Cricetulus griseus: one gene and its partner. The protein of the gene in region 1 interacts with the protein of each later gene in a pairwise test. Links are inferred from orthologs where the notes say so. Each region holds a gene or a part of one and is shown on either strand. Other genes may lie near its edges.

Region 1 (4,202 bases):
GATAGCTCAGTGGTTAAGAGCACTGGCTGTTCTTTCAGAGGATCCTGGTTTGACTTCCAGCACCCACACTGCAACTTACAACCATCTGTAACTCCAGTTCTGGGGGCTCCTAATCCCCTTCTGACCTCCTGAGAACCAGACATGACGTGGTATGCAAAATACCCATGCATGTAAATAAGATAATTTAAAAAATAAGCAAAGTCAATAAAATTATTGTTATTATTTTTAGGCTGAACATGTGCAGTTGTATATGTAGTGTCTTTTCCAGCATTCTTAGTGGACCCAAGACATTCCACAAGACAGGTTTAACATGACTAAAGTATTGATACATGGTAATAAGCACTTAGTTTTGAGTGTTTTGGCTTCCCAGGTCTCAGTTTCCCTATATACAAGCACATTGGTGCTGGTCCTCCATGTGCATGTCCTGGGGCCCCTTTCTCCCTCTCTTCTGCCCCTTTCTCTTCTCTGGTACACACACACACACACACACACACACACACACACACACACACACACACAGAGAGAGAGAGAGAGAGAGAGAGTAACAGCCAGGCTCCCTCTGCTCTGGGTCAGCAGAGGCCTCCAGAATGCTTATAGTGGTCCCTGATGCTCTGGAATGGGATCTCCTGGTCTTGGTCTCTCTGGCTGAGGCCATCTGGCCTTTTCTGCATCTCTCAGGAGTAAATGGAGCTGGCAGGATAGCTTCTGCCTTAACTGCAGCATTCAGAAGGCTGAGGTAGGAGACTGCTGGGTTGTTCAAGTCCAGCATGGGCTGTGAGGCTTGACCTTGTATCAGAAAGAACAACAAAACTCAAAGGAAATGAAAGGTCCATGAACACAGGGATCTGTCCACCTCTTGAGAGTGATAGGATGAGTTTTGCCCATCAGCATTCTTCAAGAACTCTCCCACAGAGATTCTTGTCAATGTCCCTCCTTTCCGTGGCTTTTCCTCCACCACAGTGCATCTGTGGTGCTGGTGCCCTCTCGTCTTGGGAAGGTATTTATTTCAGGAAAAGTGTCCCCGGCCCTTAGTGTGCCTCAATCTCTGAACCGGCTCCAGACACAGCCGATGGGACTGAAGCGGAGTGGCCCCGTCTCCATCAAACAGGAAGGTACGACCACCAACGGCTGTGGCCTCACTTGTGCACTTAAGTCTGGACCAGGCTGGTAGACTTGTTAAATTCTTGAGCTGAACCATGGAACCCGTGCTATTCCGGTTTTGCACAGTGCGCAGAACCTGCTTCTGCAGCGCCTGCCTTAGTGAAGTAGTCCGGTGGCACAAGCCCAAGGCCGCCCAGACTGGGCGTGGTCAAGGGCGTGGCCAATGATCTGGGGCGGGGTCTGGTCAGGGACGGGGCGGGATCAGCGCGGGTCTGCCGGGGGCGGGGCCGGGGCAGGAGCGGGGCGGAGCAGGAAGGGGCGGCGGCCCTGCCCGGCTTCCGCGTCACGGCCCTTAAAGCACCTGCCCGCCTGTCGCGGCTGCGAAGGTGCCGTCCGAGCCCAGGAGTCGGCTCCATGGACACTCTACGGGCTGCGTCCGGCGCTCGGCGGGGTGAGTGAGTGCCTCGGGGTGGGTCGGGTGGGACGCTTCGTTGAGTCCGGCCTCGGGAGGGTCGCGGGCCGCGTCTCCATCCCGGATCTCCGGGACCCTGCCGAGTTCACCCTGGTGAGTGGAGAGGGGTGTATTGGGGCACCCGGCATGCGCAAGGCTCTAGCCGGGACCGCCTCGCGTCACCGGTCCTGGTAGCCAACCAGAGTCGCCCAGCAACTTTTTCCCCCGTGGGTCACCCCGGAAACTTGTCCTTCCCGGAATGCGACTCCGGTCCTGGGCTCTTACTATGGAACTCGAGAACGAAGGCGATGGCCACAACGGGGAAGCCCCTGGGTCCTCTACGCACTTCCCAGCCCCCAGTTTCCTTCTGAGAGCACCGCCCCTGCCCCCTAGGCCCCTTGGGTTGGCATGAATGAGGACGGGTTTGGGGGTGGAGTCAGACAAGTTCAATTTTTTTCGTCACCACCTATGAGTTGATGACCTTGAGTAAATTCTTACTGCCCGTGCCTCAGTTTCCCCCATATAAGAATAACTCCTTGCTGAGAGCTCTTGAAGGAACAGCCTGAGATGACACATGAGGATAGCTTTGGATAGTGTCACCTCGTTTCATATTGCCTCATCCTGTGGGGGAAAGAGGCTGAAAGAGAGCTACATGGAGTATTCCTTGCCTCTAACCCTGTGGTCTGGTCAATAGGAGCTGTGATGGACGCCTTCCAAGAATCTGAGATATGAGTGACCCTTGTAGAAAGAAGTCTGTCCAAGAAGCCAGCCCTACCATGAGTCTGTGGGAACTTGAGGACAACCACAGCTGCCGGGGTCGCCCTCAGCCAGCCCAGGATCCTGAGGCTAAAGAGGCCTCTGCTGAGCTGCAAATGAAGGTGGACTTTTTCCGGAAACTGGGCTACTCGTCCTCTGAGATCCACAGTGTCCTGCAGAAGCTGGGGGTCCAAGCAGACACCAACACAGTGCTGGGGGAGCTGGTGAAGCATGGTTCAGCTAGTGAGCGAGAGTGCCAGGCCTCGACAGACCCCTGCCCCCAGCCCCCTCTGGTGCCCCGGGGAGGAAGCACCCCCAAGCCTTCTGAACCCTCACTCCCAGAGGAGGATAAGGATGGCAGTGACCTGAGGCCTGTGGTCATCGATGGGAGCAATGTGGCCATGAGGTATGTGTCACTTCTTTGGAGGGGACCTGTGGAATAGTCTGTGGCTCTTCCTTTGGGAAGAAAGCTTTGCTTTCCTCGTGAACTGGTAAGAGAATGTATACGCTCTCTGGGAGGCCCCACCATGTGCTAGGAGGCTCCCTGAAGCCTTAAGACTTCCTTGGGGTTATTTCATGAATGTCCAAAGAAAGAAAATAGCTCAAACCCTTACCCAGAGTCACACTCCTTGGTAAATGGGAATCCAGGATTCAAACTCAGCCTTCTGTGCCCAGAGTGCACCTTGTACCATGGTCTCTCCTGAGACCAGTCTTCTCCTTGCCTATCACATGAGGCAGGACAATACAGGGGATTAGCCTGTGGGCTTGAGCTTTCTGGGAGTCACTTAACCAGTTGAGTCATTTCTTCACTCTCTTGTCAGTCTTACCTCTCAAGTGGCCCTTGTGGGGAGAAAAATGCATAGAACATGGGGAGTTAGTTGCAAGGACTAAGTAAGCAGTTGTTGTCATTCAGTGGCTGACTCCTCTAGGACCTCCTTGTCATAGACTTGTGCTCCCACAGTAGCAGCAAGGCTTAGTTAGCTATTGAGAACGTCCTAGCCCTAACTAGGTGTGACCTATTGGCCAAATCTGGCTCTCGATGGGTGTGTGCAGGTGGCCTGATGCTCTGGGCTCATGTGAGCCCTGATTGGAATCTGTATTGACTCAACTGACGGTGCTTGGTCTGGACTGATCTCTGGGGGTTCCCAGACCTCGGTGCTTGTCCGGATCTCTCAAGGATTGGGGTGGGGTGGAGGCAGAATATGAGCCAGGCTGCTTCTGACCTTAAGGAGCCCTTGACTTCTCCCTTCCATCCAGGCCGCACCCTCCAACCCTGCTTTCTCCCAGTTCCCTGCACTACGGGCTGGTGAGTCAGGACTGGGTGGATCGCACACAAGGAAAAGTTCCTGTTGGCAGGGACCAGGGGGGACCCCAACAAGAGAACAGGAAGAGGGGAAGTCTTCCTAAATGCCTTGAGGGTTCTTCCAAGTGGACTGCCCAACTTGTCATGATGTCAGCCTCTTCCCTACCTGGCATTTGGTCCCACCTACTCTCAGCCCAGCTGGGTCAAGTGAGCTGTCCAGCTGGTCCTGGCCCTACTTAGCTGGTACATGGGAGCAACGCCTTTGGGTCCATCTTCACATCTTTAAAATGGGCTGATCTTGGGTGTAAGGCTGAGAAACACTGCTTCCATGCCAGAGGGCAATGGGTCAAACTTACACTGTCAGACTCTAGAGTTGTCTCTGAGGTTCTGAAATAGGGTATGCATTTGGAGGGGTCTGACTTCCCCTAGGCGTCATGGGCTGGGTGTTACAAGTCTTGTGGGCAGCCATGTGCTATGTGTATTTGTATCCTGGGCAGGGGAAGGAGGGGCCTGGATGGAAGGAGGGGCAGTAGTGGAGGGGTTCAGGAGAGCTGATACCAAAGAGACAGACAGCTACTGTCTGCAGGCCTC
Region 2 (3,930 bases), on another chromosome or scaffold:
GTTCCCATAAGCCTAAGATATATGAGATGTTTCTCAACACTGTAGTTGTAGAGCTTCCTGAAGAGCATATTGTGCTGTATGTAATTTCTATGAATTCGTCTTTCATACAAGATTATAATATTTATCAGTGTTATTGTGAATCATTGGCACATATCATTGTGACTGCCTAATATGCCACTGAGTAGATCTACCAGGATGTTATGAATCCCCTTATCTTTAAACATTTACATCATTTTAGTGTTTTGCTGTCATTTAACAGCATTGCAGGCTGAGGATGCAGCTCACTTTATAGAGTGCCTGCCTGTCCAACGAGTTTGCAAACAACATTTCTTGTCCACTCTGTACTCAGGCACATAGCTCTCGTGTACTGGAAAACTGCTGACCTCATCGTACCCCTCAGTATTAGCTCTGTCTAGAATTTGTCACACCAGATGTTTTCCCAAGGGCAGCATGACTGGAAGTGAATCAGCCAGTTCAGAGCCAGTGTCTGTCTTGCCCTGCAGCTCTTGAGTTCCTTCCTTGTCCTTACAATGCCTTCTTCCCATCCCCAGATTCCACTGGCATGTTGGGCCGCATCATCTTTGCCTGGTGGAAAGGGTAAGTTTGTGACTCTTCCAGTCAGCTGGCTCTGGTAGTACCTCTCAGTGGCACTGGTAATAATGCAAGCCTTTGTTTGTTGGAGAAAGTTCAATGGGAAAAAAAATCTATGCAAAGTGTTTAACATTTTATATCCTACTTGAATTTTGTATCATCTCTAATCCCTGTAAGCTTTTTGGGTAGCACTGAACATTTTGGAGATGCCAGTCTGGGGATATGGCTCAGATGTACAGCATTTGCCTTGCCATGGACAAGGCCCTGGGTTCAATTTGCCCAAACTGAAAAGATGACAGGGACACTTTTTAAGATGTGAAATATATCTAGAATCGGGAAATTATTTTTTTCTCAAGCCACTCACTCTGTAATTGCTGTGGTGGGACCGAGACCTTTCTTCTTACCATGCCATCAGGCTGGGTAAGTGGGAAGGGTGCCATGTGCTCAGCAACTCCCCTGGGCACATATAGTCTACCCTAGCTAGGGCTCCCCCTCCGCTGAGGGATTCCAGATGAAGATCTAGAGCTAGGGATGAGAATCTGGGCTGGACTGCACTGCAGCATCTCGTAACACTAAGATCTTAGAGCAATTGGCTTCAGGTGTTTATGCACGGGCCAGAGAATAACTGTGGAATGGAGACAGAAGAGGTAGTACCTATCGTGGTGTATAACAGAAACATCCTCAGCCTGGATATTGGAGCCCAGCCATTTCCCTTGGCCTTCCTTCCCACCCATCCATTGTTTCGTGAGCCAAGAGAGCCTGGGCTAGCTTCCTGTACCCTGCAGTTATACTGAGTGTGCATAAAGCAGTCCCGGGTATGTGGACTTTGGCCTGGTTACCTTTGAAGAAGCAAGAAGAAAAGAAAAAAAGGAGAATGATCCAGAAATAGCCTCTTCAAAGGTTGCCCAGGCAGTGGGAGAACAGCCAGTAAACAGGATAATTTTTCCTTGGAGCCAGTAAGAGGAAGATATACCCAGCCAGCGGTCACTGATGGTCCTCCCCGCTAAGGGTCATATTTCAGGCAGCAGTGACAGTCAGAACAAAACCCTGGCAGAGAAGCAGATACAAAGTTACCTTTCAGAAGGGCTTCATCAGGAGAGGGAGCTTCCTGCCTTGCAGCAGGAGACCAGTTAGGAAGGATAGAGCATCCTACCAAGGGCAGCATGGTGGGGCCCCAACAGAAGAGAACAGGCCTTCCCTTCAAAACCCAGAGAGAAGCTAGGTGAGGGGAGATGACAGCCATGCACGTGTGGTGTGACAAGAGGAGCCCAAAGGAAAAAAAAAAAAACCTTCACATCCCCCAGAGATCTGACTTCCATAGATTTTCAGACAAGTAGCAGCAAGTTCCACACCACAGGACTTAGTTTGGCCAGTCTGTTGCTAAGGGGGATGGAGCCGGCACTAGCTAGGGCGGTGGACTTACTCTGCAGCTCGGTTGGGAAGGCCTGCAAGGCTCCCACAGCTGCTGTCATAGAGCTGCAGCAGAGTGTGGCCTGATTACTGGGTTAGTGAAAAGCAGCTAGAGGATTTGTGATCTAACAGTGACAGGGTCACAGCTGTCTGGGTTGGAAGCCCATTTCCTCCCTGAGCTCTTTAGACCTCACCATGATGAAGGACAACTCCCTTAGAGCCCACAGCATTTTCCTTTGTTCTAAATTACAACTTCTTATCCCCACCAGGAGCAAATTGGACTGTAATGCAAAGCAGTGGAGGTGAGAAGGGGCGGGGGAGAGGATGGGGGAATCTGCCATTCTTATAAAAGTCTCTTGTTTATAACCCCTGGCCTCTGGTCCCTTCCCTAGGCTCTTTGCTGATGTCCTCAACGATATAGCCATGTTCTTGGAGATTATGGCTCCCATGTACCCCATCTTTTTCACCATGACTGTCAGTATCAGCAACCTAGCCAAGGTACCCACCCCTGGGGCACTTGTGTAACTGAAGTATGTCCTTAATGGTGCTGTGTGTGGCTCACCTGGACCCTGTGCTGAAGGCACTTCTGAAAGGGGAACAAAGTTCATGTGTTTCTACTCAGACACAGACGAGTTTTCTGACCCTCCTTTGACAGGACAGCCCTTGTACCTCAGCCAGCCTGTGCAAGGCCATGTTGGGAAACCATCCTGGTGAGGGAGTCCTGAGCTGCGAGCTGGAGGGCAGTCTGACACCAGTGTCTGGAGCTAGCTCCTGGCTGTTTTTCATTCTTCAGTAAAACATCTTTTTCATGCCTACTACATGAGTGACACAGACCACAGACTCTCCCATCTTTAAAGGAAATGATGCATAATTACACAAATATTTATAGAATTGCAGTTCTGGGCATACCAGATGGGAAATGGTCTGGGGCTGTAGGAAGGCCCTGCCTCAAGCTGAGTCCTGAAGAGGGGGGGCGGGGTATGGTGAAGGGAGGGTGTTCTAGGGCCAAGAAATCACACACACACAGCAACCACAAATCACAACAGATTCAAATGGAGAGGCTGAAGGGCCACTGAAGTAAACATAAGCTTCCCCTCTGTGATAGGGTTCATTTGCCCCCACAGTTCCTTCTGGTGAGGAAACAGGCCTAGCAAGGTCAGGAGAGAAGCCCACTGTGGTCAGTAAAGTCACAGTAAAGCTCTGTGACTCAGTGCTGGTCCCCATCTCAAGGGCCTGTCTGTTCAGCACCACACCCAAGCAAGCACTTTTGGCATTTGGTGTTAAGCAGTCTTTTTGCTTAAGGGCAAGCAGTAAATGCTGTGCACACCATATCCTTCACCCCTGCTTTTGTTACTAGTGTAGGAAACACTACTGTAGCTGTGGACCAAGGGTTGTGACTTTCAAATCCTGCATTAAACTGCTTTTGAGGCCTGTGTGACTATCAAATACTGTACCAGAACAAGGCATTGTCTTTCCCCTTAAGATCACTCCATGACCAGCCCTTCATCCACAGCCACAGCAGCCTGAAAGTGGCTGTCATCCATACTTCCTCCCAACTGTCACTTTCCACTCTGTTCTTGGGAGTTTTCCTCCTCCTTCCATTCATCCCCCTGTCTCCCTCTGCTGAAGAAGCCGTTCTTTCCTAGGTAGTATAATCCCTCTTAAGTCCTCAACAAAGTCCAATACTCTTTTGAAAGTGGAAGTCATTGGGCCAGCAAGATGGCGGTACCAAGCCTGCCAACCCGAGTTCAATCCCTGGGACCAACATGATGGAAGGAGAGTCAGGGCTCCTACAAATTCTCCTCTGACTTCCGTGCATGCATCATCACACACATGCCCAATATACAATAAATAAATATTTTTAATTAAAAAATAATAAAGGCCAAAATCAAATTAAGTTACTTATCTGACCCATTGCTCTTTGGGAAC

What was found.
Region 2: the proteins of Zc3h12a (region 1) and Ahsp interact in binary tests that used the Homo sapiens proteins (3 or more experiments, as listed by UniProt). The two-hybrid records come from large-scale screens. The link is inferred for Cricetulus griseus from reciprocal best matches to the Homo sapiens genes ZC3H12A and AHSP.

The regions. Positions count from the first base shown.
Region 1 is NC_048595.1:27,928,677-27,932,878, forward strand, and holds the start of Zc3h12a (endoribonuclease ZC3H12A), read left to right. Parts: upstream 1-1,402; 5' UTR 1,403-1,552; intron 1,553-2,246; 5' UTR 2,247-2,280; coding exon 2,281-2,714; intron 2,715-4,202. UniProt on the Homo sapiens protein: Endoribonuclease involved in various biological functions such as cellular inflammatory response and immune homeostasis, glial differentiation of neuroprogenitor cells, cell death of cardiomyocytes, adipogenesis and angiogenesis.
Region 2 is NC_048596.1:72,527,637-72,531,566, forward strand, and holds the start of Ahsp (alpha-hemoglobin-stabilizing protein), read right to left. Parts: upstream 2,801-3,930; 5' UTR 2,671-2,800; intron 2,500-2,670; coding exon of another isoform or gene 2,394-2,499; intron 2,304-2,393; coding exon of another isoform or gene 2,271-2,303; intron 598-2,270; coding exon of another isoform or gene 552-597; intron 1-551. Other genes in the region: Rusf1 (RUS family member 1), read left to right, coding at 552-597, 2,271-2,303, 2,394-2,499. UniProt on the Homo sapiens protein: Acts as a chaperone to prevent the harmful aggregation of alpha-hemoglobin during normal erythroid cell development. Specifically protects free alpha-hemoglobin from precipitation.